4 linked regions of the Caenorhabditis elegans genome follow. The protein of the gene in region 3 interacts with the protein of the main gene of each other region in a pairwise test. Each region holds a gene or a part of one and is shown on either strand. Other genes may lie near its edges. The genes, in order: hum-2, eat-17, rab-10 and cnt-1.

The links.
Region 1: the proteins of rab-10 (region 3) and hum-2 interact in a two-hybrid assay, tested with the Caenorhabditis elegans proteins (one study listed by BioGRID).
Region 2: the proteins of rab-10 (region 3) and eat-17 interact in a two-hybrid assay, tested with the Caenorhabditis elegans proteins (one study listed by BioGRID).
Region 4: the proteins of rab-10 (region 3) and cnt-1 interact in a two-hybrid assay, tested with the Caenorhabditis elegans proteins (one study listed by BioGRID).

What each region holds. Positions count from the first base shown.
Region 1 is NC_003283.11:9,382,759-9,390,607, reverse strand, and holds the start of hum-2 (Myosin motor domain-containing protein), read right to left. Parts: upstream 4,434-7,849; 5' UTR 4,379-4,433; coding exon 4,322-4,378; intron 4,225-4,321; coding exon 4,111-4,224; intron 4,062-4,110; coding exon 3,544-4,061; intron 3,496-3,543; exon of another isoform or gene 3,494-3,495; coding exon 1,567-3,493; intron 1,518-1,566; coding exon 1,368-1,517; intron 1,321-1,367; coding exon 1,231-1,320; intron 1-1,230.
Region 2 is NC_003284.9:16,412,391-16,420,353, reverse strand, and holds the start of eat-17 (Rab GTPase-activating protein eat-17), read left to right. Parts: upstream 1-3,513; coding exon 3,514-3,626; intron 3,627-7,047; coding exon 7,048-7,154; intron 7,155-7,963. UniProt on the Caenorhabditis elegans protein: Rab GTPase activating protein for the small GTPase rab-6.2. Required for grinder formation, which is the feeding organ that breaks down food.
Region 3 is NC_003279.8:6,454,727-6,461,352, forward strand, and holds rab-10 (Ras-related protein Rab-10), read right to left. Parts: upstream 3,754-6,626; 5' UTR 3,747-3,753; coding exon 3,620-3,746; intron 3,565-3,619; coding exon 3,252-3,564; intron 3,175-3,251; coding exon 3,096-3,174; intron 2,726-3,095; coding exon 2,639-2,725; 3' UTR 2,556-2,638; downstream 1-2,555. Other genes in the region: mam-8 (MAM domain-containing protein), read right to left, coding at 178-627, 757-1,039, 1,093-1,229, 1,993-2,200; knl-2 (Kinetochore null protein 2), read left to right, coding at 6,265-6,348, 6,397-6,483, 6,530-6,626. UniProt on the Caenorhabditis elegans protein: The small GTPases Rab are key regulators of intracellular membrane trafficking, from the formation of transport vesicles to their fusion with membranes.
Region 4 is NC_003280.10:12,084,368-12,092,049, reverse strand, and holds the start of cnt-1 (Truncated cnt-1), read left to right. Parts: upstream 1-3,181; 5' UTR 3,182-3,188; coding exon 3,189-3,260; intron 3,261-3,305; coding exon 3,306-3,439; intron 3,440-3,577; coding exon 3,578-3,754; intron 3,755-4,408; coding exon 4,409-4,547; intron 4,548-5,429; coding exon 5,430-5,519; intron 5,520-7,682. UniProt on the Caenorhabditis elegans protein: GTPase-activating protein for the ADP ribosylation factor family. Regulates endosome recycling downstream of rab-10 and upstream of arf-6.

The sequences.
Region 1 (7,849 bases), on a different chromosome or scaffold from region 3:
TGTATCTCTTTCACTTTATTTAACGCGGAAGAGCGAATAAGTCAAGACGAACTTCAAGTGTGAATAAACTCGCGCGCCACTCGGATAATATCATCAAAAATATATTCAAAAAACGGCCATCATCGTGTTTCTCTATCTAAAAAAGCGAGTAACGAGCCAACTCTCGACCCATAAAGAAGCATCAAGTGAGCACTAAGAGAGCAAGGGAAGAACATTTTATTTGCAGAACTACTGAGGTTTGGCACCCGAATTATTTTGTTGTGTTCCAACTTGTTTAAAAAAATTTAAAGTCAAAGATAAGACACTGCTTCAGTGAAAAAATAAACTGGCAGTTGCGATATTGACAAACAAAACATAAGACGGCAATCAGTGGATCACAAGAAACAACTGATGATTAACGGGATAAGCTCCCAAACTATGTGTCAAGTGGTCAAGTTGACATGGAACATTTGACATTGGAAGAGACACCATGTTGTTAGAAATATTTACATGAATTTAGGGGGTGAAGAGGGTGATGCAAGAAAAGAAAAGCGGCCCATTGGGAGTTCACACAACTAAATATTCACAAAAATACTCGAGTTACCAATTGACTTTTTTTTTCAGAAAACAACAATTTGAAAAGCTATAGATGGAGAAGATTCTAATATCTAGGTGTTAAAAAAGCTTAAAACCTATGACACCTAGGATTCAAATTCAATATTCAAAAGTTGCAGAATGTTTCCACAATCACGCAATCAGTATCATATTCTCGATAGATTAGGTCAGAGGCTGTTTTCAGAAATGTTATGTTTTAGTTGATATGCTGAAAAAATTGAAAACTTTCTGTTTTTCGGTCCAAATTGAAACAAATTTTTTATCAACAGCCCTGATCAGGTGAATATTTTAATAATAAATAAGGGATTTTTCAAGGAAGCTCATTTCTACACATACACTGCCTACAAAGTTGCCGAAACTCAATCAAATATTCCGAAGAGCAAATAAAACAGATCGTAAAAGGGGAAGGGAGCTCATGCTCATTCAATGTTGCCGTTTTAGATACAACAACTTTCTTAACAATTCTCTCATTCGTTCGAAGGCTTTTTGATTGAGATGAAAGAGCAAAAATTTCATGTTTGCACATTGTCTCCGACTACAAAAAAAAATGCGCATTTTTGCATAAGCTGATTGTGATTGCAAACAATGAATTACTAAGTGCTTTTTCTCATAATCTACTCTTAAACTTCAACTTACTGCAATATCCAATCGCATTTGCAGCTCGATGATTTTGTTCTCCAAACCAGTGTTTAACTTCTGAAGATGTCCAACTGAACGTGCTTCTATCTGAAACAGAAAAATTAATATTAGAATAAGTAAGAAGTCAAACTCACCTTAAGCTCCCGGAGACGACGTTTGGCAAGCCATTTACGGACAGCGCACTGAACCATGACCACCTTTTTCCTGTTAGCGATTTGCTCACGTCTCGCCAAATATCCACGCCAAGCTGCTTGAATTGTGATTGCAGATTTCTCATAGCGAAGCTGGAATATTAAAAACAATTAATAAAAAACTTTCAACAAATTATCATACCTTTTCCACATATCTTCTGACGCGATTCGCCTTAAACATTGCCTGGATCCCAATGATTGAATCGCGAATTTGTTCATACTTCCGTCGCTCCAAATATCCACGAACAGCAGATTGCATGACTATCACAGCACGATGCATTTGGAGATACTTGATTCTTCGGAATGCGAGGAATGCTTTCAACGATGCCTGGACGATGAGCAAAGATCTTCTCATCGTTTCGTATTTTCTCCTGGCCAAAAATCCTTTCCACATCTTCTGAATCACAGTTGCAGCAGCTGCAAGCGTATCGAGCCGAACTCTTTCCAGAACGGCAACTTGTCCAGTACGTAAGAAGATTTTCGTTTTTCCAACTGCATATTTGCCTTCTTCCAAGCATTGTTGGCATGCTAATTCCGCAAACTGTTTAGGTTTGTCTCTCCACAGGGCAGCTTCCTTCGTGTAAATTACACGGTATCGACGAGCAAACTCCTCATACGGATAACGAGATGGGAAACCAGCAGCAGAAATTCGAACAGTCTCAAGAACTCCACACGCACGAAGTTGTTGTATCGCACGTTTTGGCTCGAAATCGAAACTGATTTTGCTGTCATTTGGCTTGATGCATCGGACGTAATGTGGACGCGTCGAACAAAGTACAGACATGAGCTCTTTGAGTGAATCACGAAATTGGCTGGCCACAGTCTTCTTTATCGTACGTTTTCCGGGTGTCGATGAAGATGATGATGAAGAGACGGAGGTTGGTGCAGTTGATCCGATGACTGTGCGAATGAATGGAAATTTACTGGCAACGACAACATCAAGAAGTTGCTCTCCAATCGCATCCCTGTTCTTCTCCACAAATCCATCCGTACTGTATGTGACGTCAGCAGCGAAATGACGAACAATAAAATCGTTGCTCCGAACTTTTGGAAATGCGAGCTGTGGATTTCTCTTCAGCTCCGTGCTATTCTGCAATTGACTCAACCAGTCAGCATCAGATCCATTCAGACGTTTGCATTGCTCGTCGAGAAGATTGATCATTCCGACAGGACCTTCGATAAGATCAATAGCGGGCTGATTGTCATGGAAATCAACACGAACCCATTCAATTTCCTCACGAATATATTCTTCTTGCTCCAACTTGAAGACATGCTGATTAAATTGTTGTTGTAGTTTTTCGTTTGCATAATTGATGGAGAATTGCTCGAAGGAGTTCACATCGAATGTCTCGAATCCATAGATATCAAGGACGCCAATGAAACGATCTGGCCGCTTCTTTTGATTTGTTCCGTCCAGCTTATCCTTCTCGTTCAAAGCTTCATTGATTTTGTCGACGAGCCATCCGAATAAATGGGAATACAGCATTTTCGTGAGAGCATCTCTCGAACGAACAGCTTCATTTTTGGTCAACGGCTTCGTCACGATCTCATTCACAGCTCGAATCTCTCGCCTTGTCAGCCAAATTCTCAGATCGGATTCACTGATTTTCCAAAACTCCCGGCAAAGTCGTGAAATCTCCTGACAACTGCTAGCAGATACAGCGGACGAGCCCTCGCCGTTTTCGAAATGCACGTTTCCGAGAAGCAATAATCCAGCGAGAAGGCGGAATACATCGGACATCTGCTTTTCGTCGAATCCAAGCAACTGAAGCGCTTTCAGCAAAGCCTCGAAATCAGCTTTATCATCAACTCCGGGAATACGACTGTCTCCTCCTTGAGTGAGATACGAATACGATTCGCAAGGTCCCAAGTGAAGATCTTTGAGAACTTGATGATTCCGAGCGGCACATAACTGATAGAAGATGTGATAATTGCGCTCTCCAGGTGCTTGGAATACTAGACGACTTTTCTCGAGCAGATATGTCTTCATTTCGGCTCCGACAATCCTTCGTCCTCGTTCACAGAAGTTAATCTGTATGAACTTCCCAAATCGAGACGAATTATCGTTTCTGAAAATAAAAACAGTTGACAAATTAAGATTAATTTCAAATAAACCAACCTAATCGTTTTGGCATTTCCAATCGACTCCATAATCGGATTGCTCGCCAACACACGTGCTTCAATGCTGGTGGTCCCGCCATTTCTGGTCTTGCTGGCTGCAACAGATGCCAAATAGCGCATGACAAATTTCGCAGATACGGTTTTTCCAGCTCCAGACTCGCCACTCACAATAATAGATTGTGATTTTCCGAAAGCTCCCATGTCGAAGTGGGCCTCTTCTGCTACAGCGAAAATGTGAGGATCCATCTCACGAGCTGATTTTCCAGCTCCTCGATACACTTGGATAATTTCTTCTCCATAAATGTGCGAGCAATCGGCGTAAGGGTTGATTGCTACAAGCACAATTCCACAATATGTGTAGATCGATGATCCTTTCACAAATCGAACTTGTAGATTGTGAAGAACTGCCGGCTCGTGAAGATAGGAAAGAAGTGTGAGATCATCCTTGCCAACAAGAAATGCAGGATTCCTGAGGAATGGCAACTGGTCCAATGACTTGATGGCGTACTCGACTTCCTGAAACGAATAAGTTTTTGAAAACGATTAATGCGATAAACTCTCTCACCGTATCATCTTCGAGCCTTATCCGAACATTCCGTGTTTGGAATGTGATGTCCTCTTCCAAAGTAGCTCCAATCCATACAAGGGTTGGGTGGCGGTGCCAAATACGAACTCCCTTCTGAAAATTTCCAAAATTATTTGAATAACAAAGTTGAGCAACAAAAAACTATTAAAACTGAAATGGCATCTAATAGTAGGATTTAAATAATTCTCACCTTGAAGTTTTGCAGCGGGAACAACTGGCCCCTGCCAAGAGTGGCGCCTCCGTCCATATTGGATGCTCCCAATCTTTTTTCGATTCGGTGAACAGGCTCGGTGAATCTGAAATATTTTGGAATAATTGAACATAAGTCACGAGTTAAAGAAAGTTAAGAAGAGAACGAAGAGAAACGATAGGTTGGTGAAATGTTGAGTTGAGACAGGAAAAAACGTGAAATATTTACATGAACATATCACTGTGTATTTGCCCTTCCTTCTCCCATTCTACGATATTGTCCGGTTATCAGGTTCGGAAACGCAAAAATAAACATTTCGGCAATGAAACACTTTTTCCCGTACTGGACGTGAAGACAGCGAAGATCTACGGTTTTGCATGGTGCCTCATAAAAATTTATTATCCCCGGTGGTGCCGAAATATACATTCCTCAATATCCATCTCTCGCGCCACTCAACATTTATGAAAAACAAAGTGAGGAGGTGTAGGATTAAGTGGAAAGAAAAGATAGATTTGAATTGGCGCCTCTTGCAAGCATGTGCAACTTGCCAAGGACACTTATCGGCCGGTGTTCCTCTCCGCTAAGAGACTGAGAAGAAGCTTGTTCTATTCAATTCGTTACTATTCATCAAGGGCAGTCTCATTTGGAAACTTGTGATTTATCACATTTTGGGACTACTTTTTTGTGTCACAATGAAATAGGGAATAATACTGGTTTCGACGTTGTTTTTTTTATAGCTACTTTTTGTTTATGACAACAAAATAATAATTTACTCTCTCCTATGAACTTGCTGATAATCAAAAAATGTATAATCGTTATGGGTTGTAATGAAAAATTAATTTCGTGTTCACTATTTTTAGGAGAAAATGTATGTAAATCGGGAGTAACGAAAGAAGCGTTGCTTCGGTGACAAAAGACAGCCGGCTGCCATTTCAAATTTCAAACCAGCGCCTTGCGGCAATTTTATCGCCAGAGCAAATCTGCATACGTTGCGAAGGTGTGAAGGTGTCAACAGAGAAAAGGAAGAGCGGAGAAATAGAGAAAGTGATTAAAATACGAAGAAATTCTTATCGGCAATAAGTAGCTGCTAATAATCCTGTATTTACCACTTGTTTCGATAATAAAATAATAGAGAAAAAGGAGAAAATAAGCTAAATTCCACACTTTCTTATTCGGAAACAGGAAGACATGGATAGAAACCAAAATCGTGATGTGGGAAAAAAGAACGACAACATTAGTTTTCAATTCTGGGTACAAGCCGACAAAATCCGAAAAGTAGAAAGCGAAACGAGGAAAGAAGCGATTTCAATTCAAAAGCGAAAATTGGGACGGTCTACTACTAAAAACGCTGCTGATGGAGGTAGATTAAAACGAACATTTGCCTAATCGCTACAGAGTCTCTCCACTTTCAGTGCTTCCGACAAGTGATGACGAGCTGTTGACGGCCATCATAAAATTGCGCCGAAAATGAAAAAAATCTGCCTGAAGAAGTAAAAGAATGTGAGGAAACAGTTGTTTCCACATATAGTAAGAGCGCAAAGCAGAGGAAGTGATTAGTTTTGAAAACAGGAGATAACACGAAAAATGAAGCTACTTCGAATAATTCTCAAAAGAAAAAAACGGGTATTTTACAAAATCGAATTCCAAAAATTTGAACAAAAACTAATTCCAAATGAGTTTTTTAAAAAGTCACTTTCTAGAAGTTATTTCGAAAATTAAAGGGACATCGAGCTTTTCGCGCGCGCGGGTCTCGAAGCGATGAACAATTTACTGTAAAAAATCTATGTCGGCCTAGAATTTATCAGTGAACAATGTTTTATTTTTCTATTGTGGCTTAAAAAGTGCCAAAATGAATTAATAAAAATAACACAAATAAAAATATTTATATTTGTGATATCAATTTTCATATGGGCATTAAAAAAAGAAGATTGGCAAGCTATTAAAGACAAATCAGTTCTGGAAAAACGATCAAGTGATCAGAAACTGACCAGAAATGATGATCAATCACTTTCATCACAGTGCGGACGCACAGTCAATGGCAAAATAAACACGGATGACAAGCGCACTAGTGTTTTTATCCGAATAAGTGATGTTGGCGCATTTTCCAGAACGAACAGTTTTTGATAGAAGAAACAAAGAAAATAAGAAGCGATAAAAGTTCTAAATCGAGGTTACATGCGTTGATATATTCACTTGCGCCTATAAAAAAGAATTCGGGGCTAATTGTGATTTTATTGATGGACAAAGTTAAGCATTGGACAATATTAAAAGTTTTCGATCGCAAAAAACTATCGAAGCGAAAATAGAATTATAGGAAGAGCGCAAAACGGTTTTAAAATAGAAAAACGACGAGGTCGGCCAGAAAACTAAAACCGGAGGCGGCGGGTGGAAGATCAAAAAAGAATGCGCCTCGTGGAGTCAATTGCGAACACAAAAAATTCAGCAGAGCCTCTCTGGAAATAGTTCAAAATCTGAAGAGACTGAGATGCGTTCGGAGTGAACGGAGAGGGATGAGCTTATGTTTGTGTACCGAATAAGGAAAACGCTCAGAAAGGGTTGGAGAAGGCACCGGTGTTTGCCGCGAGCCGGTATTCTCGCTGGTTTGTATGCGCGCTCTCTGAAGAATATGAATGAATGACAATGTGTCTGCGTGTCTATGACTTTGATACTCTCTCTCTCTCCTCGTTTGCTAGGAAACTGTGCAGTTTGGGAACACAATAAAGAGCTGTAGAAGATGGTAAGAGCCGGTCTCACAGTACACATTGGTGGGAATCGAAAAGTGACCAGAAATGTGACTTGTTTTCTCGCAGTTGTTACAAAAAGTGAAAACTTTCGCACAAGTTTAACGTCCGTGACCGAATTCTTCCACGAGAGACAGACAACTAGTATTCGCTGATTGTAAGGAATATTATTTCAGAAAAATTGAAAGTGATTTTTTTCTTTCCCTTTTTTTTGGGGAAGAAATTCGTAAAAAAATCCGTAAAAAATTTGACGGTGTAGGAGAGTTGCACTCATCCCCCAAAAATACTATTCACTAACAAAAAGAACGGTTTCGAAAAGTATAGCAACAAAAAACGTAAAAACCACGTAAAGCAGTCGTATCTTCAAAAATTTTCCGTTTATTTACCTATTCGAACTGCTGTTATCAAGAATGATGAATCATCATTTTTGCGTGTGCTTCTCAGAGACTATTGACAGACCCTAAACGAACGTGACTAAGTGGATAGTAAAGGAGAAAATGTGCAGAAATTGCTTGGGTGAATGCACAAGGTCATGGAAAATTCAGAAAATGTAAAGAGCAAAACTTTAAAAGAAAATGACACTCTGGAAACTTTAAAAAATAACGGTAAAACGCCAGAAAACTACCAAAACAAGGAAAAATAAATCAATAAAACAGCCAACAAGGCCCAAAAACAAATCAATATTAGGTTTCAGTCAACGCTCACGTGCCACCTTGAAAAAAAACCGAAGAATGGCGAAATTGACCTAAAAATAGTGACAAATTTGATTTCGAAATATTTCGCGCCA
Region 2 (7,963 bases), on a different chromosome or scaffold from region 3:
TCGCCAAGAAAGAGAGGGGGCTGAACATAATAACATGGCGAAGTAGAAATATATGGATAGATAGATATGCATCCGGCAGTCAATGTGTGTATGGGTGGTCAGCGGATTTGTATATTATAACTATCATAAAATGTATTTGGAGGAGCAATGAAGGATCTTTTTTGTATAAATAAGCTCGTGGCTGCCTGGTGGCATCGCTGTCGCCAAACAGGCCGGCTGCTAGCAAAATGCAAACAAAACGTCTATTATTCCACACTTTTTGCAAACTTCTCTTAATTGATTCTTGATTGCTTAATTTCTTAATTCTTTTTGTTTGAAGTTCGATAGAAGTTGGAGAAATTGAAAACTGTTGGTCAATTTAAAACATTTAATGAAAGTTAGGCTAAAGAATAAAAGTACAGCTGAAAATTTCTTATAACTCTTAATTTTAATTGTAGCTTGTGAAAATTAGTTATTGGTTCATTATTCCTTTATGCACAATTTCGTTTGACTTTTGTGCACTTTGGATAAAAATGTGTTTTGATTAATTTCAAAACATTTATTACATCGTACCATTTTTGTAAAAAAGTTTAAAAATATTTTCTCTATCACAGCTGCTCTGACCATTATTCTAGTTGACCTTTTCCCAATTCGAACATCCAGCGAACGTTCAACAAAAGTCTGAGCAGATGCTCCTCACAGACACAGAATTTTATAACACTCTTCAGCATGAGACCGAATTTTGATCAGTGTCTGTAGCTTTTTATTGGAAAGCTCTTTTTTTCAATAGTGTATTATATTGGAAAGTATGTAGAAGTAGAAGTTGTTGAATTGAAAATGTCCGCATTTGACAAAACCTTCATAATGTTTTGCTTTTTTTTAAATAATATTATTAAAGTTGGGCAGAATTTTTATATATCATTGAATTCTAAAATCTGAAATCAAAAATCACAAGCGCAAAGAAAATTCGTAATTAACAATTCCACGCTATCGGAGATTCGCTATACATCAAGAAAAATAATTTTTTCGTCGTTCAGGAACTTTTGAAGAACAGACTTTGAGGTTTTTAACTTTATTTAAAAAAATATTAAATCTTAAATTTCCATTAACCGTAATAAAATTTGTATAAAAAATTTTTGTTTCTTAAATTTCAAAACAATTTCGTTGATCTTTTGATTTCAAAAAAAAACAACTAATCAAGATATTTTTGACAACACACTTGATTTGTTGTTTTTTTTTTATCAATAGTTTGTTTTATGCTTCAAAACAGAAATAGGCCAGTTTTAGGCTTGAAGAAGACCACAAAATTTTCTTTTTTAAAAAGTTTTTAAACGCTAGATGTAACATTTTCATGGATATTTCCTTGCTGTTTCATTTTTATATTATATTAGTACTAAGAAAAATGATAAACACCTCAAAAAGACCCACATATAAATTAAGTTTCTTTTAACATTTTTTAAAAAATTATTTTTTTGAGATTTAATATGTTTAGAAATTCTGGAATTTTTCCCCCAAAACCCGCAAAAAATATAGATCCTTTTTGAAATGTGAACTTTCCATGTTATTCCTCTTTTCATGTTTTGATGGCTAATAAATCATAACGAAAATCTCCGCGGACTTCATTTCAATTTCAATTGTTAAATTTCAATTTTCATATTATTCTACAAAAATAAATACTTGATACACTTACTTATATTTCAAAGTCTCTTTTTTACTCTCACATTTACCAATTCTAGACTTGCATACTGTTCGATTGCACACCTCCCCCCTCTTTTGATCTTGTGTTGGAGGCGCCCCCCGCGCGTTCTCTCCCCTCTCTTCTTTTCCGTCTCTCACTCTCTCGTCGCAACGGACCACCATTTTTTGATTCCGTTTCCCTCATTAGTCACTCTCTCTGTTTGTTTTCATTTCAATTTTTACTTTTTAAAGGTTTTGTTTTTATTTTCTGTTTTCTGTTTTCCGACAAACTTTTGACATATTATTTATGAATTGACTGTGCGGTTCTTTTTTAGGTTACGGTAGTTGGTACGGTAGTGTTTTATCAGTAGTGGATACAAAATTTGGAGAAAACCATATTTTCATATTTTATCCTTGAAACCCCTTAAATTTTCGAGCTTACTCCGATACTTTTGATTCTTCCGGAAAATTTAAAAACTACTGAAAATTTTTACATTTAAGTCGCACATTTTACTCTGAAACATTCTGAAATTTTATCATTATATATATATATATGATTTATCTAGTTGAACGTACAGTAATATCATACCTCCAGTAACTATTCATTCTGCTATTTTGTTCGCCATTCCACTCTTCTCTATTCTTCCGTCCCATTCGATTCTGATTCATATTTCGGTGTCAGGGTATCAACACCACCACCACAAATATTTGCAGGCGAAAGTTTTTGCTTTTTTTTTGTTCGCCTCTGCGACCTACTAATATCAAAATCTCCTCATCAAACAGGCCAGCTCGTTGTGCCACTTTTCAGTTAGTCATTTGGTATACAAATAAAAACAAAACCGATAAGATGCAGGGCCTCGAATTACTCGGGTTCTCAGTCAGTTAGTGTCCGTCGGCGGAAATGTGAAATTTTCTAAAATTAGAGAAGATTGGGTTTCGATAATTTTTTTTGTCGGGTTGTGGAAAATTGATTCGTCATGGGTAAAATCGTAGTAAAAGATCTCGAGATATGAAAAAATTGGAATTTTTCTATAAATAAAATGGATTACGGTATAGTACGGTAGAAAAACTACGTTTTCTGATGAAGGTCTGTGAAAATGATTTTCAACAAAATTAGGACCGTATAGGACCGAGCTATTGGATAACTTTTTTCCAGCTTATACAGTAAGAAGTCCAGCAAAGTTTTGATATTTGATGTAATCTCGTTCTGAAAGTAGATAGAATTAAAGTCCACTAGCCACACGTTGCACCTCTGTTTTGGCTTTCACAAATAGTATTATATAACCGTATAAATAAATAATGACATCAGTGTGGACGCTGCTCCAATCCGTAAATCTCGTCCCTCCCCTCACTCCCGCGCGCCTTGTGTTTCCCTCCGGAGAGCAAAACCCAGCGCGGAAACCAAGACGTGTTGAAAAACTAATAGTATGTCTTGAAGAAGCTAAAGCACATGACCATATTTGCTCCATTTCTGTGGGAAGAAGAAGCGATGGATTCAGAGACTCGCGGTTTGGTTGTGTCACGCCTACTTCGGACTGTGCGCACGGCCCGATCGCCGCCCGGTCTCTTGCCTCGCGTCGCTCCCTTCGCCTATCGTTCTCTTTTCGACTGTATGCTGTTTCGCGTCCTCCTCGCTACGACCATATAGACTCAATAGTGGCGACGGACGCGCAAAACACGGCTCTCGGCTCAAAATTTTTCCCCCTCCCCCGCTGAGCTCAACTCGGGATTGTTCGCCACTTTTCGACTGATTATCTCTCGATCAACACCCATACGACCAACAACAACAACAATAGAAAAAAAACAGCTACCAACATCAAAATATTTCACTTTATTCCGTAACTCTACATATTCACGATGGTGCCCTCGCCGGCTCTTGTCGGAACGCCATCAGTGTTTCCACATCATCAGTCTACGTCGTTTTTTCAAGAAACTGCTAGCTTCTTCAATCTAGACTGGGAGCGATTATGGTAAGAATTTTGGGATCATTTTTAAAATTGGAGGTTTTAGAAATTATATTTTTGAAATGGTCAGAACATTTCTCAATTCAAAATTTGAGACTCATTTTTTTCAAGTTCCCAATTGTGCTTAATCTACTAGTACTCAACTATCTTTCTAATAGCCTTCCAACTTTAACTGATCGAACTGTACCTCCTCTTGTGCTTTAGAAACTTTGTATTATTGGTCGTTTTAATCCTCTACGTCAAATTTAATACATTTTTCCTATTTCTGTGCAAAGACTTTGATTCAAGTAATCTATAGGGTGCTTTCCATCAATGTTTGATTTGAGTTTGATGTTTATTTACCAGTTTTAATTTGATCAACTGAACTTGGCCTACTATCCATCAATAGATTAGCCTTTTCTCTTGCCAATTAATTTTTGACTGGCTTTTAATCAAAAATCATTGTTCCAACTCTTCTCTTCATTCTTTTTTTCCTCTAGACAAAGCTCTTCACCCGTTTCGGTCCGTGCGCGGCGCCATTTTTGTTCTTCTCCTCCGATTGGTCATCGACAGTTTCCAAAAATATCCTGGCGCGGCGCCACGGAAAACCGGCGTTTTCCTGTATGCATACAGGAGGAGTGGGGGGGGGGACGAATCTAATTTTGGAACACTAGGTACACAAGCATGATGGCATTCCGTTGGCCGTGTGTCCGAAACCTTGACCAAACCAGGAAATTGTGTGATTGGCATGTTGGCAACGAGTTTTCCCGAGATTGAGAATGGAACAAGGAACTGATCTTCGAGCGCGCGCACAAAGTTAGGGACGACAACGTTCTGTTTGCTCGTGTTGAACTCACCGTGGTTGGTTTTTTTCCCTTGCAGTTTACTGCAGGGGCTAGCTGCTCCGAACGTGACAACACGAGCAAATATACGGGACCGAGGGGTCAGTCAGCGATAAATAGGTCAAGGCTTTGTGTAAATCCTCGAAACGTGGTGGTGGGGTTTGATAACAGTTTGATGAGTCGTGTACAGTTGGTTCGAGTTGAGATGCAGGGGAAGGTGTAAGCAATATTGCTATGTATTATAAATTGAAAGAAAAGGTCGATCCGTTCTTCATGCGCTATGCACTGCGGATCTGGGACTGCCCGGTGGTGCTCCCGCTGGGCTATAATTTAAGCCACGTCCTAGCCGGGGACTGTGGCCGATAATCCAGTTGTGGATTACTCCAATAGTGGCTGGATGTACCTAGGGGTGAGGCCGGACTTGAACTCGTGGCCTCCAGATTGCTTGCGTACCGAAGGAACTATCCTGCCCCTCTGGCTAATTTGAAAAACGCTAACAGCATAAGACATCGCAAACTTTGATCAATGTCGGCTGCTTTTACTATTTCGTTTTTCTATACTGGAAATAAGGTACAAACTGGCAAAGTAATAGTTTTTGCACATTGGCTTTGTAGAATAATAAGACAAGTTTCACTGAGACCTGAACTTTTCATTTTCCGGAGTTTTGATTTTTTGGAAATCGGAATAGTGTTAACAAGTTGTAAAATTTGCCACATTTTCAAAAGAAATTCCTCTAGGTTTAGATTTTATCCTGTTTTCTTTGAGCTACCATATACTATCGTGTCCTCAGGAACTCGTGAAACTTTGTACAAACCCTTTTCTCTGTGCGCTTCAGAAGGTAAAACTTCATAAATTTTCATTTTGTACTCAGATAGATGTAGAAATCGCGGCAAGACCCACTCCAAAAACATCATCGTTCCAAACTATGATAGCTTAAATTTTACCATCAATAGGACGGTATTCATCACAATTGCGACTGCTAACTCGCATCATCAATTGTATCAGCATTGGCATGCAACACACAGGAAAACATGTTTTGTATTAAAGCGGTCGGGTAACCTGTATACATCTCGTTTTCTCTGCCACCCTCCACTCTCTCACCATTTCCACGCGACGTCTTCTACGTGTGGGATATACTACAGAAGAACACAGGGAGAGAGAGAGATAGAGGAGGGAACACCGCCACCACTACGCAACAGTGCACAGGAAGGTCCACACACACCACACCTATCCTCTTCTTCCTTATTTATATCCTTTTTATTGATTGCGTGCGTGTTTGGCAATATCTGACCCCGACCTTTTTTCTTCGCCCTTTTTGTCCTCAGATCGCTTGATCTCACCTCAAAACTGACCGCCGCCATCCGTTCCTGTCAATTACACGTCTCGATGACTACTGACGACTTTTTTAATATTACAATTGGATTTGGTTACGAAAGCCTTTCTTTAGTTTGGAGTTTTTAGGTAATTGAGAAATGATTTTAAATAGGAAGTTTAGCTGAAAGTTTTTAAGTTTAGTTACAAAATTTAAAAAAAAAAAAATTTTTTCACTTGAAGTTTTGGCAACATCAAATTAACGAAATTTTATACATACAATTTGTAGAAAAAAAACATTTGTTTTTTTTGACGGCTTAAATTATGAGTGACTGAGTAATCGTAACTTTTTGACTAAAAATTTGAAAAAAAAAACATTAAAAAAGTTTTACTGTGATATTTGGCCATTTTAGCACAGTAGGTGTAGTCTCCAAAAAATTCACATAAATGTTTTTTTTTGTATTTTTCAATTTTGGTTGATTTAAAATTGAACTGAATATGAAATTTAGAAATTTGTGTAGATCTACAATGTTGAATTCAAAATTATAAACTAGAACAGTTTTTTTTCTGAAAAAATAACAATTATCATTTTTTCCGACAGTTATGATTATTTTTGTTTTAAACAATGTAGAAAGTTTTGAGTGTATTCTGAATAATTTTCAGTGCATCATTTTCAGTCAAACTTTATGTTTTTTCTCAAATCTCAATTAATATTAAAAGTATTCCCCATCCACGTGTCCCTTACAAGAGAACTGTTTTGTTATCTCGCACTATGCAGAGGCGGTGGCTAGTATTAAAACTGATAAGGAAAGCATTCAAAGCTGGAAGAATGACACAACAAGAGATGGCTCGCCCACCTTTTGAAATTTGAAATATTCCGTTAGTATTCCGTTCTTCGTGGAACTTTATAGGAACAGCTCTTTGCATTTTTATTTCATTTTGTATTGTGTTTTTCGACCATTGCAATGTTGACAATGATGGGGTGGAAGGAGGTTTTGTTAATTAAAATTAAAGATGACGCCTTGCGTGGTGTCAGCGGCTACTTGATTTCTCCCCGTAGCTTTTTTCTTTGCGTTTTTTTTTTTCAGTTTAAGACTTTTCTCTCTTCTGTGCTACCCAAAAAGTGATTGGATAGACTTCCGGTTTGACTATTGACATTTTTACTCATCAGTGCTCTCCTTGGCCAGCATTACTTTGTACAATAAAAAATGGCATTTTCATGACGCTGATGACTCTTTCCATTCGCGTTTTCCAATTTCTATATGTTCGATCATTGAAATATGTTTTTTTTTCAGGCATTCGCGTTCAAACTCGAATTCAACGTCGTCGCCACGCAACTCGCCGTCCCAATTGTCACCGCCGATGGCAGCCACTGCAGCGCTACGTCGGAGTTCGGATTACGGTAAGAACGGTTTTTCAAAAAAGTTTTATAGACTTTTGAATTTTGATATGCAGTTCTAAAAACAGAGACACTTACGTTAATAGAAATAACTTTTTTTGAACTTTCTTTTTAGTTTTCGTTCAAATTGGCCCCTCTAATTTTATCTAAAACTAATAAGGACTATACTTAAAAACAGAGTTCTAATAGTTTAAGCCTACGTGTCTAAGCCTGAAGACTTTCTAAGCCTAATTTATACTCAGGCCTACCAATTCACGATTTTCTACCAGAATTATTTTTTAAATTCAAAATTCTGTATTTACGAGAAATATTTGAATGTTTTCAAAAAATAATTTCTACAAACGAAACTATAGGAAAAAATGTGCCGCACCCTGAAAAATGTAAACAATATTGTCGTGGCGAGACCCAATTCGCAGTTGTTTTCTAGTACTAGTTTTCCCCCCAATTTCCCTTTCCATTACTATTCATGATAGAAAATTGAATGCAAACACGCAAAGCACAACAGTGCCGCGACGATTTGCATTGTTATAATACGGACGACCACCACCACCACACACACATTCACACACCTGTAAATTTAAATATAGTTTAACAACTAAAAAAAATGGGGCAAAACTAGGGAGTGGGGAAGTATTCTTAGTTGTAGATGTTGTAGTAGTAGTAGTAGTAGTAGTAGTAGTACTAGTTTACTGTGAGCCAGTAGTGCTCAGCTGCTCGTTTATGTATGCATTGTAAAGGGAGGGGCGGCGGAAGGAGAAGAGCTTCTCTTGTAGTTGGACACATAGCTACTGGGTCACCGAAATCTTTAATTG
Region 3 (6,626 bases):
TCCCCACTGACGATACTCTATCTTTAATTGATCCGGTACAAATTTATTTGAACCTTTGTAACTTCATATTATAGAAAAAATGAGGGTGAACAACTTTCCTCGGCCTCTGCTCAACCACAGGAAAACGCCCCTGGAATGCCTACAGAAATGCACCACTAAAAGTATAAAATAAATTACCACACGTTAAAGTCTTTGATTCTCCATCGACGAGATCAATTGAGGAGAAAGCCACAAAATCGTTTGCACCAGTTATAGATTTAAGAATTAGAATTACTGGAATTCCTTTTGGAACTGATTCCAATGAAATTAAAACTCGATTCCATCCATTTTGAGTTCCAGTTGAATCGGGAATTGATGAATCCTCTTTTTCAGTCCATATCACTTTTTCATTCATTGAACCAATATTTCGAAATGATAAAGAAGTCACAGATCCTTGACTATTAAACATTTGTAATTGAATGAAAGATGGTGCATCAATTGGTAAACGAACTGGAGAAGATGTCAAAGTTGATTCACCAGCTGCTTCATTCACAATTTTAGATGGAAGAAGTTGAATATTCGTTGATTGCCAGGAACAAATTGAAGAACGAAAATGACAAGAGATTGGAGTACATACATTTGATAATTCTGAATTTTTAAAAGTTATAGAGATGGTCCTTGGGATTTTTGTAGAATATTATTCGCATTAGTAAAAAACAAGGAAAGAACGAAAAAAACGTTTTAGGGATCCGAATATTGTCTACAATATCAACTTACTTGAACTTCTCCGAATTTCTCTTCTTCGTATATCTTCTTCATCAAAAAACTTGGAATCTTGTCCCGCCCACATAACATTTGCAGGTGTTGCCACGTCAATTTCATCGACAGCAATGATATCTTCAGCAGTTTGAATATTATCACATTCAAATATAACACTTGTTTGATTATAATCTGGAATTGGAGGAAAAATGACACTTCGACGATGCCATTTGATTCTTTCTATCTCATTTGAGGATATGGTATCAAGTAAGATCTCGTCTGTTTGGTTTTTTAAAAGAATCTGAAATTATAAGTAAGAGTTTTCATAAATTTCAAACTAAAATGGGAAAATACCCTCAAAGTCGCCATTCCACGACGTTGATACCGATATGCAAGTATTCTCATATGATCTGATTTTGAGATTTTCTGAGAAGTAACTCTTGACGAGGGCACTGATGCGAACTTTCCTTGTGCAAGTAGGAATGGTCCTTCTGAAAAACGAGCGACTTTAAAATTCCCCATTTATGTTAGAGTGCGCAAGTTTCAAAGGACACACTTGGTGACCTTCCTAGATTTTTCAAAACTTGAAGTAAATGGTTTCAGTATACTAAATTACTTTCTCAATGTTTTCATTGTTACTACACGAAAATTACGAGTACAGAAGCGGATATTTAAGATTCCAAATTTCGGCATTTTGCCAAAAGATTGACCTAAAACATTGATGATTGTACAAAATTGTAGATTTTCAAATATATATATTTAGTACTTTTGCCCCAATTCGAGTACATGTTTAGAAAAACTATAACTAAAACTGAAAAGAAAATTGTAAAAGTACAGATAACTGTAACTGATATCTCGCCACGATTCGAATAAATCGCGATTCTACCGTAGTCTCAATGAGAAAAACGGCCGACGTGGTACATTCCGTAGAACATGATCTTTAAAAATGTCGGTAACTTTTTTAACATGTGACATCATCCGTGAGGGTCTACTAGACTGCTTGAATCTATGTGACTATAGTAAAATCGCGGCAAGAAATCGTGGTGATGAGCACATTGCGATCTACCGTATAAAACCTGTTTTGAGATAGTAGATGATTGTTGTGAATCTTTGTGCAAATAATAAATTAACCATTGAAGCTAAATTTCAGGTTCTCCGATCGGCCAATGTATTTAGTCATTTCGATTTAATAGTGAACATGCTATACACGAGATGTAGTCTAGAAGACATTAGAAAATACATTTAATTTCTCACCAGAAGTGATAACATCGGGTGTCTTTGAAATATTTAGTAGTCCAGGATGCTGATGACGTGGAAGAATTGCCAACGAGACAACATTCCACGGAGGTCTGATATCCCATTCACAGGTTCCTTCGTTGAATGTACATAACTCCGTACAGTAAGAAATAGGTAGTACTACTAGGTAGATAATTTTGAAAAGCATTGCGTTGAACGGTGTCATCTGTCATAATCCTGAAGTTGGTTAGAGTGACCTCGTTGGATATTCAACAAGTGACCGGTTTTCGGGGGGAGGGGGAGGACATGTCAATTATACAAGAGTAAGCAATGAAGGTAAAGATGGCTAGTTAGCATGTGGAAGAAGAGCAATTTATTTTATTAAGTCTCTGCGCACGAGAAGATTTGTAAGAAAAGTAAAAGGGGGAGGGAAATTGAAAGAAATGGAGAACATATTTAAACGATCATTAGTTAGAACAGGTAAGTGGAAATGGAGAAAATGTTTCCTAGAAGGGAAGAATGTGAGGCAAAAATTCGAAAAAAAATGAGGGGGAAAGAAGAAGAAGCAAAAAAGATGTATTGACATTCAAATTCATGAATACCCGGATGAAACATTTACAAAACCAAATTGGAGAATAGAGAAGTAAGAGGGAAAAACATGAATCTAGCAGCATCCTCCACTGCTACTCTGCCTCTGTGGTTGCACTGGATTCACCGTATCGCGGGATTGCTCGTCAGTGGAATCAGGCATCTGAAAATAAAAACAAATTATGAAAAAAAAACAATCGTATTAATGAAACTAATTTAGATTATTCTGGTGCAATTTTTGACGAAGCGATTAAAATTTTTTGCATGATTAAAAACGAAGAAGTTTCGCTCTTCATATTTTGTACTAGAAGAGTAATGAGGACAAAAATAAAAAGGCTCTTAGATTTTTCAACTAATTACGAACAATTTCACAAGAAAAAATCAGATTCTAATGCATTTAGCAATCTAATTATCACATTTTCGTCGATTTCAATACTATCAGAACATATATTCGCCCGTGCAAAGAATGTACTAATATATTTCGAATTTTCACATCCTTAATTTTAATTTTTAAAAACATTTTAAAACTTTACCTTAGCCAGAATTGCTTCTGCTAAATCGTAAAACGCTGTATCGACGTGAACATTCAATTTAGCTGAAGTCTCGTGGAAGCTGAAAATAAAAATTGTTTGAGATTATATATATATATTTTTTTATTTTTTAATCCTTTTTAATCTCCCAAAACGTACCTAATACCATGATCTTGTGCGATCTTCTCTCCTCGTTCTCTGCTCACAACTCGTCTATCACTCATATCACATTTATTTCCCAATATCATTTTAACAACATCTTCCGATGCATGTTCGTCAATATTGCGCAACCACTTTGCAATATTGTCAAAACTTTTCGCATTTGTGATATCGTAAACCAGCATAATTCCCATTGCTCCGCGGTAATATGATGTTGTGATTGTGTGGAATCGTTCTTGTCCAGCTGTGTCCCAGATTTGTAATTTAATCTTTTTTCCTTTTAATTCGATAGTTTTAATTTTGAAGTCGATTCCTGAATGAAAAAAGAAAATTATTTTGAAATCACTAGATTCTGAATAAAAACTAACCAATAGTTGAGATGAATGTGGTGTTAAAGGCATCATCCGAAAATCTGTACAGAATGCAAGTTTTTCCAACTCCTGAGTCGCCTATTAGCAGCAATTTGAAGAGCATGTCATACGGTCGGCGAGCCATTTTTCTTCTGAAATGAGAAAAAGTTGAGAACTAAAGTTGCACAAAAGTAAGAGAAAAGCACTTGAGTCATGGCAAATAGAACGAACACTTTGAGATTTCGAAGAAGTTATCAAGAGTTGACAATTGGAAGATATTTGGAAGAACTTTCTAATTTTTTTCTAGTTTTCCAAAATTAGGTTTTTGTCATAAAATGTTGTCAAAGAAAAAACAGGACAAAATAGTTAATTGTTGTTTCCATTATAACAAAAAAAAATTTGAACGGAGCTATTAACGCGTGCATGCGCAAATCACATCGATTAGCTGTTTCTGGGAAATTCTCGGGAAAAGGTGAACAGCAGCTGCTGGCTTCCTCTGCGGGTCACGAAAACACAAAGAGATCATTATAATTGTTATTTGGAAAGGAAGCGAATCTAAAACGGGTACAGGTGGACGTTTATTGATCGAAAGTGCTTTTTATTTGAAATTGAATGGTGAACTTTGCAATTTTGTAATGCAAAGTACGTTATCAGATGGCATGAGATGTGTGAAGTGATAAGGAATAAAATGTGAACGACATGTTCAAGAAACTGTGATTTTTCAATAATTTGTGATGAAATATTTTAGGAACAGAAATGAACATATTAATTGATATAAAAACAATAGGAACACTAACTCATAATTATGATAGGTGAATATCAAAATGTGCTAGATTTTTTGAAGTTAAAAAATACATTTCTAATATTTTTTCAAATAATAAGTTTCAGCTGAAATTTCAGGGTGATTTCAGAAAGCTATGTTTTGATAAATTGTTTTGAAAATTAAAAGAAGCTACAGCAAAAAAAAATTAAAGAGAACATCGCTCCCTCGTAGTGTATAATTTTTGATTATCGAAAAAAATGAGTCAATGATGAAAAGGAAGTCGCAATCTCAAAACTTCAAAAATCAAAAGAAGCCGTTGCCTCTGTCATCAAAAATTCAGAAGACAAGGTTGTTGACAAGGGTCAATTCTCAGTGGTGGAGGGCATTGGGCGTGGTGAAATTTTTGAAGGCTAGTGTGGTTGGACCTCTACTAGATAGACAAAACCCCCGAAATAGACGTTTAATTTGATGAGATGGTGGAGAAAGAAAAGGACTCATTCTCTAGATGATAGAGAGACCAGAGATACAGACAAGAGAGGGCGCCTCGGCCGTATGTTGAATGGGAGATCGATGGAACCGAGACAACGAGAAAAGGAATAGAGACGGAGAAAGAGAGAGAGAGCGCGCGTTGTTGGAAGGATGAAAAAGAAAAAAGACATGAGCTGCTTCACAAGAGCTTGGCGAAAGCAAAGGGCAAAGTGTTGACAGCTTAGTGGTGGTAGTTGGATCATGTGTTTTTATGTTTCCGGTGGGAGAAGGTTCAACAAAAAATGAAAAGAAAAAGTTCAAGCGGCATGAATCATTCTGAGTTTAAAACAAAATTATTGCGAAAATTAATATTAAAACCTTTTCACAAAACTTCAAGCTAATCTGTTCATGAAAATTTGAATAATAGTTTTTTCCCACCTATTTAGAATTAACTTCATATTAACGAAATTAATTAACGAATCGAAAATTATGACTTTTCAGAATCATCTGAAGTTTTTTCACATTCCATGCTGCATGGAATAATTTGATCCTGGAATCGATATGTTTTTATGGTATACTTTTTAACCTTCAATTTAGCTGGAAAAGTATGGAATAAATAATTCCCGAAGCTATGTACATATATGTAGAATTATTGAATGATTGTGAGAACAACTTGACTTTAGCTTGAGTAGGAATCGGAATGGCTATCGACCGATCAACACTTAGGATTGTAAGAATGGCAGTAAGAATATATTGAAGAAAGAATGTTTGTTCATAGGAAGAGAAAGAGTATTGCGAAATCATCATCGCCCACTTTAGAATGGACGGGCGGTGAGCGGACATAGAGAATTGTGAATGACTAATGCTTTTGCAGAATCTAGGGCAAAATCGTAGGAACAAACAATTGTAATACGGAGAAAACAATCATATCGATCGATGATCATGGAGAAAAATGTGATTTAAGTGAGTAGACTTGGAAAAATTAATAAAAGCATGAATTGTCGATATTTTTCATTTATTTTCATTATAAAGCTCTTTAAAAACAAATTAAATATTGAGAATGGCTTCGAAGAATATTGTTTCAAATATGTTCAATGGTGACACCTTGCGGATAAAATTAATGTAAAAATCATGGAACACAGATTCACTGATATCTCATTATCTCAAGCAGTGTAATTAGAGATTTTTTGGAACAATTATTTTATAAAACTATAAATAAACCGTTTATACTACTCAAAGCCAAATATTCAAGCTATTACCATTTTTTTTCTAACTAATTCTTGAGCAATTAAAGTATTCCCCAGTTTTTATTTTGCAACGACTCCAGGCAAACACGCTCCGTTGCACTTGCCGCCAAGGCGTTGCATTCAAATCAGAGAGACATCTCATTCCGATTTCTGTTTTTCTTCCAATAAACGGTATTTTATGCCTAATGGGTGATACGGAAATTGTTCCTCTTCGAGTACAAAATGTACTTGATAGCGAAATCATTCGTCTCAACTTGTGGTCCATGAAGGTAACTGTCTAGTTTTTTTAAGTTTTCATGATTTCAATATTTTTACAGTTTAACGCGACCAGTTTCAAACTCGAAGGTTTTGTGAGAAATGAAGAAGGCACTATGATGCAGAAAGTTTGTTCCGAATTTATTTGTGTAAGTCGAGAAACATATTCGTCAACAATTTTCATTAAATATTCAGAGACGCTTCACTTCTACGTTGCTTTTCGATGTTTCCGGACGTTTCTTCGACTTGGTCGGACAGATTGATCGGGAATATCAACAAAAAATGGGAATGC
Region 4 (7,682 bases), on a different chromosome or scaffold from region 3:
TAAATTGTAATAAAATGTGTCCAACTGAAATGTTGTTGGCAATAGTGTCAAAAACATTTGGTCTTTTTAGGTTTCAATGTTTTTTTTTCGATTTATGAAAAAAAATCCAAAGGGTACCCCTTACAAAAATTTTCTAAATTTTTTTTTGAAAACTTTTTAAAATTTGATCAGATGTTATAGAAAAAATGCAAAGTTTGTAGTTGATCTAGTTTAGATGTTCTGAACACGAATTCAGACTAAAACCTGAGGTATAGTAGAACCTCAAAATTCAAAATACGCACTCACTTCGGATGTTGATATCTCCGTGGGAAAATTTTTTAAGACAAAGTAATAAACTACAAAGTTGTATATCTTAATCTGAAGTACAACTTTGTAGTTGATTTTTTTTTCATTAAAAAATTTGTTGGTTGAGATATGGACAGAAAAAGAAGAAGAAAATACAAGCATGAAGGTGCCAAACTTTACACAACTTTATCTCGACCAACACATTTTTTGATAAAAAACAATCAACTACAAAGTTGTACTTTAGATTAAGATATATAACTTTGTAGTTAATCACTTTGCCATAAATTTTTTTTCCACGGAGATATCAGCATCCGAAGTGAGTGCGTTTTTTGAGCTTAGGGGTTCTACTATACCTCAGGTTTTCGTCTGCAATAGTGTGCAGAACATCCAAACTAGAAAAACGACAAAAATTGCACTTTTCTATAAAATCTGATCAAATTTTGAAAAGTTTTCAAAAAAATAAATTTTGGAAAATTTTATTAGATAGAGGTAGTCAAAGAGCATTTGAAGGTAGTCAATGAGCATTTATACATCAGATTTCATCTCCATTTTTTCCGGAATTTTAAGAAATGAGAAAGTGCACGACCTTCTTAGACATCAAAAAGTAACATGTTATTGAAAATTCTGATTTTTCAGCGAAAAAAACTATAAATTTTGAAAAATTAGATAAAGGTAGTCAATGAGCAACTGAAGGTAGTCAATGATCCGAAAGGTAGTCAATGAGTGTTTGCCCCCCTCTGAACGGATGCCCCCTACGAACAATTGCCACCTTTGACCTAATGCCCCCTTAGAACGCGATGCCCCCTCTCACGATGCCCCCTGGGAACATGGGCCGGCAATTTGTCGATTTGCCCATTTGCCGGAAATTTCAATTCTAGCAATTTGCCAATTTGTTGGAAACTTTCAATTCCGGTAGCTTGTCGATTTGCAGAAAACTGCAATTCCGGCAATTTACCAGTTTGCCGATTTGCCGGAAATTTCAATTCTGGCAATTTGCTGGTTTGCTGAATTGCCTAAAATCTCAATTCCGGCTGTTTGTCATTTTGCCCATTTGCCGAAAACTGCAATTCCGGCAAGTTGCCTGGTTTGCCGATTTGCCGGAAATTTCAATTCCGGCTGTTTGTCATTTTGCCGATTTGCAGGAAGTTTCAATTCTGGCAATTTGCCAATTTGTCGAAAACTTTCAATTCCGACAAGCTTGTCGATTATCCAGAAATTTCAATTCCGGAAATTTGTCGATTATCCAGAAATTTCAATTCCGGCAATTTGCCGATTTGCCGATTCGCCGGAAAATTCAATTCCGGTAATGTGCCGGTTTGCTGATTTGCCGATTAATTTTTGAGCTTTTTTGCAATGTTTCCAAGTCAAATAAAACATATTTTCAGATAAAAAAATTTTTTTATTTTATCACTAAATTTTGATGAAAAAAGTATTTTTTGTTGGATAATCACGTGGTGCCAGGCTGTCCCAACACGGTTTGATCTACAAAATTGCGGGAACTTTTCCCGCAAAAAATGTGACGTCAGCACGCTCTTAACCTTGCGAAGTCAGTTGAGAAGTCTGCGTTTCAACTCCCGCATTTTTTGTAGATCTGCGTAGATCAAACCGAAATAAGACTCTGGTACCACGTGTACATATGTGTAATGTTGTTGCATTGCAAAATTCCAATTTCCCCGTAACTCTTTCTCGTCTGCCTAGAAAAGCAAAGTAAGAGAATATTAAATTAGTTGCGCTCTCGGTGCCTCCCCTTCTCCTCCTCTCACCCAATTTCATTCTCAAGCTCTCTCCACAAAAAAAGAGTATTGAAAATCAAGAGAGTTCCTAGAGAAACAAGCAGTGAATGTTTATATACGACTGTCCTTTTTCTCCAAAAATTTCGTCCTTTTCTTCTTCCCCCCACAAACACAATGACCTCCGTCCGAAAAGTTGTCGCGATGTTCTTCTCCCGCCGTCTAACTGCCTGCGTCTCTTCTCTATTTCTCTCCCTCGTTTTCCTGTTCATCACCATCATCATCAGCGGCAGCCGTAGCGGCAAGAGAGAAGAAGAACCGGCTGTTTTTCTGTTTTTTTTTTCTGTTCTGAGGCTTTTGTTACGTGTCTTGGAATTTTTCTCTTTTTCCTTTATTGTGCGAGTGATATGGACTTTTGGTTTTCTTTAAAGGCGCATACGGAAGTTTAAGTTGTTGAAAAAAACATTTGAAAATGTTTTTTTTTTTAATTTCAAAAGCCACGTGGCATATTTACAGCCACTTATCAAAAAAAAAGTTTTTTTACCCAAAAATTGTTGGTCGTTTTTATAGGATTTTTTTTGCGAAATTTTGGAAATAAAATTAATTTTAAAATTTAAACTTAAAACTTTTATTTTAACATTGGGAAAATTTTGTTATTTTCCATAAGTTTCGATAATTTTTGTACAGAAAAATGGTGATAAAATTAGTTTTTCTTCTAAAAATCGGACTTTTCAGACTTTTTTGAATTTTTTTCAAGTGAAAAATTTAAGCAATTTTTTTAAAATCAAGACTGTTTTCAGTTTATTTTTCTATTTTTAGCTATTAAAAATGAAAATTTTCAAGAGAAAAATGTTTTTTTACCATTTTTTCGACATTTTTTCTATTAAAATTGCGTTTTTAAAAACCAAATTAATTAATTGATAAACATGTGCTGTCAATTTCAATGCCAAGTACGCAAACACCACAGCTGCACAGTACCAGATCTACCGTACTCTTCAATTAATTAATTGAAGAGTACGGTAGATCTTGTTCTGTGCACCTGTGGTGTTTGCATACTTGGCATTGAAATTGACGACGCAATATTATCAATTAATTATTTTTGATTATTTTTTCTCAATTTTCAGCCGAAAAAACTCAATTTCTTCGTATAAAATCGATAAATTTCCAGATTTTATGACAGTATCAAACAATGGAATGGCGATGCCGTCTGTTCCGCCAAAAATCGACTGCTCCGAGGCAATTCAGGTAGAAATTCCCTCAAAATACACCAAAAACCTAAAATTTTTGCAGGATTCTCCAAAATTCCGCGCAACAGTCGCTCAACATGCAATGTATTTTAATCGATTAGAGAATCGGCTCAACGAAATGCTCCGACACATCACTGCAATGATTGATTTCAGCAAAAATTATACGAACACGTTTTAGTACGTGAAAAAAATTCATTTTTGGGGTCTCGAAACGATTAAGCTTTCAGATTACTGTATTTTAAAGGCACATAGCGAAAAATAATCGTTTCAAAACCAAAAATTCAAATTTTCTCAAAAAATCCCCGTTTTTTCCAGCAAATTAACGGTTTCGGTGAATCAATTATGCGATGAAAGCTTCTCCGGCAATCCATTGGCGTCTACAACATTCCAAGGATTATCAGAAGCCTATGCACACACTGTTAACCTATTTCGCACGTATTTCGACCATTCAAATGTGGTCACTTTCACGAAACTGTCGAATTTCATTAAAATGTGAGATTTCCGGAGTTTTTTTTGGCGAAAAATCATAAAAATCGATAAATTCTGAGTTAAAAAGGCCGAAAATTACAAAATAACGAGTTTAAGCGAATTTAAATCAAAATTTCGTTTTACTTTAAATTTAGAGGTGAAAAATTCAAATTTCCCGCTGATTTACTAGATTATTCATTCTAGAGGTACAGAAAATTGACAAATTTGAACAATCGAAAATTTTAATTTTTTTTGAACTAAAGGTATTTGGATTGAGCTAAAAATTTTAAAAAAATTTTTGAGCCAGAAAACTTCAAAAAAATTTCTATATTGGAAAAAATTAATTAATTAATTAATTAAATAAATTAAAATTCCTGTAAAAAAATTTGCAAAAAAATAGGCAAAACTCGATTTTTTCTCGGGTTTTTTGGTAATTTTTCAAAAAAAAAATCTTTTTTGAAAAGTTGAATTTCCCGCCAAATTAAAAAAAAAATCAATTTTACGTATAAAACAATATAAGGCAATTTTTTTCGAAAAATAATAAATTTCCAGCCAAAATTCAAGTGTTTTTAACCAAAAATCGCATAATTCACAACAGAAAATTGAAAATTCAATTAAAAATTAGATTTTTCGAAATAAAAAAAATTCAAAAATGTTTCCTCTAAAATCTAATTTAAGTGAGCTCACAAAAGTGGCAGAATCCCGTGCACATTTTGAGAATATGTCCCAATCAATGGATGATGCATTAGTCAAAAATGCGAGTATTTCAAGGCAAAAGCCTGCAGATGCGACAGAAGGGCGAAATGCACTTACTGCGGTGAGTTTTTTGAATTTTCAACGAAAAATATTCGAAATTCTCGATAAAAAACCAAAAAAAAATTCATCCAAATTTTTGAAAAAAATTTCTTTCTAAAAATAGGTATTGTACTGAAATTTTTTTTTACAAATTAAAAAACAGATATCTTTTTTTCGCCAAAAAAATTACTTAGTGATTTTTTTTTGTAAATTTTTAAAATTTTTTCTTCGAGAAATATAAAAATCGTAAATTAATTTTTGCAACAAAAATTATTGATTCATCAAAAAAATGTTAACTTTACTGAAATTTTTTTTTTAAATTTAATTTTTCGAAAAACTAAAAAAAACAGAGAAAAAAACCTAATTCAAAATCGACTTTCTTGAAAAATGCCCATTTTTACTGAAAAGAAATTTAAAAACATTTCTTTTGTAATTTTTTAAAGATTTATATTTTTCGAGAAATATAAAAATCGTTAAAGCGAACAATCAATTTTTTGAAAAAAGAAATATTGATTTATCAAAAAAAGCCGATTTTACAGTAAAAAAAATTCCAAATATATTATCTTCTTTTTTATTTTTTTCAAGATTATTTTATTTTTCGAGAAATTGTTAAAATAAATAATTGATTAATTTTTGGATAAAAATTTAATAATGTTACTGAAAAAAAAAGAATTTTCTGAAAAAAAAAGTCTATTTTTTAAACAATAAATCGAAAAATTTAAAAATGTTCTTAACAAAATCAAAATTTCTGGTTATATAAAACATTCAATTTTGTCGTTTTTTTTTTTGCTTCACCTTAAATAGTTTCTCACAAAGCGTCTCAATTGCAAGAAAAACCACTCAAAAACCCTTAAACAAATAAAAACATTTTTTTTTTCAAACCAAGAAACCCGCTCTTTTCCAGGTCGGCACTTGCTTCGCACACACCACACTCGACTACGTGGCAAATATTAATATTGCACATGCACACAAGGACCATATGATTCTCGATGCGGTTCGTTTTGAATTTTGAAAATTGTTGGTTAAAAAAATTAGAAATTCCCTCGGCTAATGTGAGAGTTATCACATAAAATAACGGAAACTTTTTTTTTCCAAAAATTTGAAAAAAATTCAAAATATTTTATTTTTAGCTGTAAGAGTTTTAGAAAGATCAATTTCTTGATTTTTTGCTCAAAAATTTAAGAATTTATAAATTTTTTTGTAGCCGTTTAACATTTTACTTTTGCCAAAAAAAAACATTAAAATAAAATTTTTAAAAAAATTTTAACTAAAAATTCAAAATATTTTATTTTAAACTGTAATGCATTAGAACTTTGTTAAAAAATTTGTTTTTGAATTTTTAAACTCAAAAACTTGAGAGTTTTGAAATTTTAAATTTTGCGAAAAAGCCCGAAATAAATTTTTTTAAAAGTTTTTTGACTCAAAAATTACAAAATTTCTCAATTTTTAGCAGTTTCGCATTATAATTTTTCACTAAAAATTTCAAAAAAACTTTTTTCCACTGTAGTTATAGTTTTGGTAAAAAAAAATCAAAAATAATTTTTTTCCCGTTTTTTACTCAAAAATTAAAAAAAAACATCTCAATATTAGCCATTTTCCTTTGAATTTTTCTTATTAAAATATTCAAAAACTTCCAACTTTTAGCCGTTTAGCATTCTAAATTTGGTAAAAAACATTAAAAAAAAATTTTTTTTTGTTTTTCGGTCGAATTTTTGATGCCAGTCCTGGTCGTAAAAAATAACTTTTTTTGTTGAAAAAAAAATTAAAAATTCCGGAAAAAACCAAAATTTCACTTTCTTCGAAGTTTCCAAAAAAAAAGTGACAAAGAATAGAGAAAAAATGAATAAATATTTCGAAACTACCCCTCCACTCGACTGCATTTTTCTTTATTTACCTAGCCATTTTTGATGACGCGCGTCCCGTCTTTTTCTCCTCGAAATGCTCTTTCCATCTTCTTGTGCAGCACCTTTTTTTGGGAACACAAAATATCAAATTTCCACCAAAAAAAAATTCTGGAAAATTTTACTGAAAGTCTGAATATTTATAGGTTACTATTTTCGGTTTTAAAAATTTTTTTAAAAATTTTTTCTAGGCCATTAACTTATTTTTCTAGGCCATCTTTGTTATTATCTAGAGCATAATTAATTTTTCTAGGCCATTAATTCATTTTTCTAGGCCATCAATATTTTTTCTGGACCAGCGATTTTTCTAGGCCAGCTGTAATTTTTCTAGGCCATCTATATATTTTTCTAGGCCATCAATATTATTTTCTAGGCCATCTTTGAATATTTTCTAGGCCATCTTTGTAATTATCTAGAGCATAAATAATTTTTCTAGGCCATTAATTTATTTTTCTAAGCCATCAATTTTTTTTTCTAGACCAGTGATTTTCTAGGCCAGTTATAATTTTTCTAAGCCATCTATATATTTTTCTAGGCCGTCTTTGTAGTTATCTAGAACAGAAATAATTTTTCTAGGCCATCAATAATTCTCCTAGGACATAAATTTAAATTCTAGAATCTTTGTTTTTTTCTAGGCCACATATATATTTTTCTAGGCCATCTTTGTAATTTTTCTAGGCCATCTATATATTTTTCTAGGCCATCTATATATTTTTCTAGGCCATCTTTGTAGTTATCTAGAACAGAAATAATTTTTCTAGGCCATCAATAATTCTCCTAGGACATAAATTTAAATTCTAGAATCTTTGTTTTTTTCTAGGTCACATATATATTTTTCTAGGCCATCTTTGTAATTTTTCTAGGCCATCTATATATTTTTCTAGGCCACATATATATTTTTCTAGGCCATCAGTAACTTTTCTAAGCCGCTTTTGTTTTTATAGACCATCAATGTTTTTCTAGGCCATTAATGTTTTTTCTAGGCCATTAATGTTTTTTCAAGGTCACCAATATGTTCTAGGCCATCAATATATTTCCTAGGCCACCAATGTTATATTTATTTTATTTTAAAAAAATCAGTCTTCTCGAAAAAAAGAAAATATGTCTTTAAAAATTTTCCTGAAAAACGTTTTCAAATTTTTAACTTAAAATGAAAAATCTAAATACCTATGCATATTCCTGTCTCACAAATATTTTTTAAACGAAAAAAAACCCAATTAAATTACTAAAAAACCACCAAAACCACGTTTTTTTTA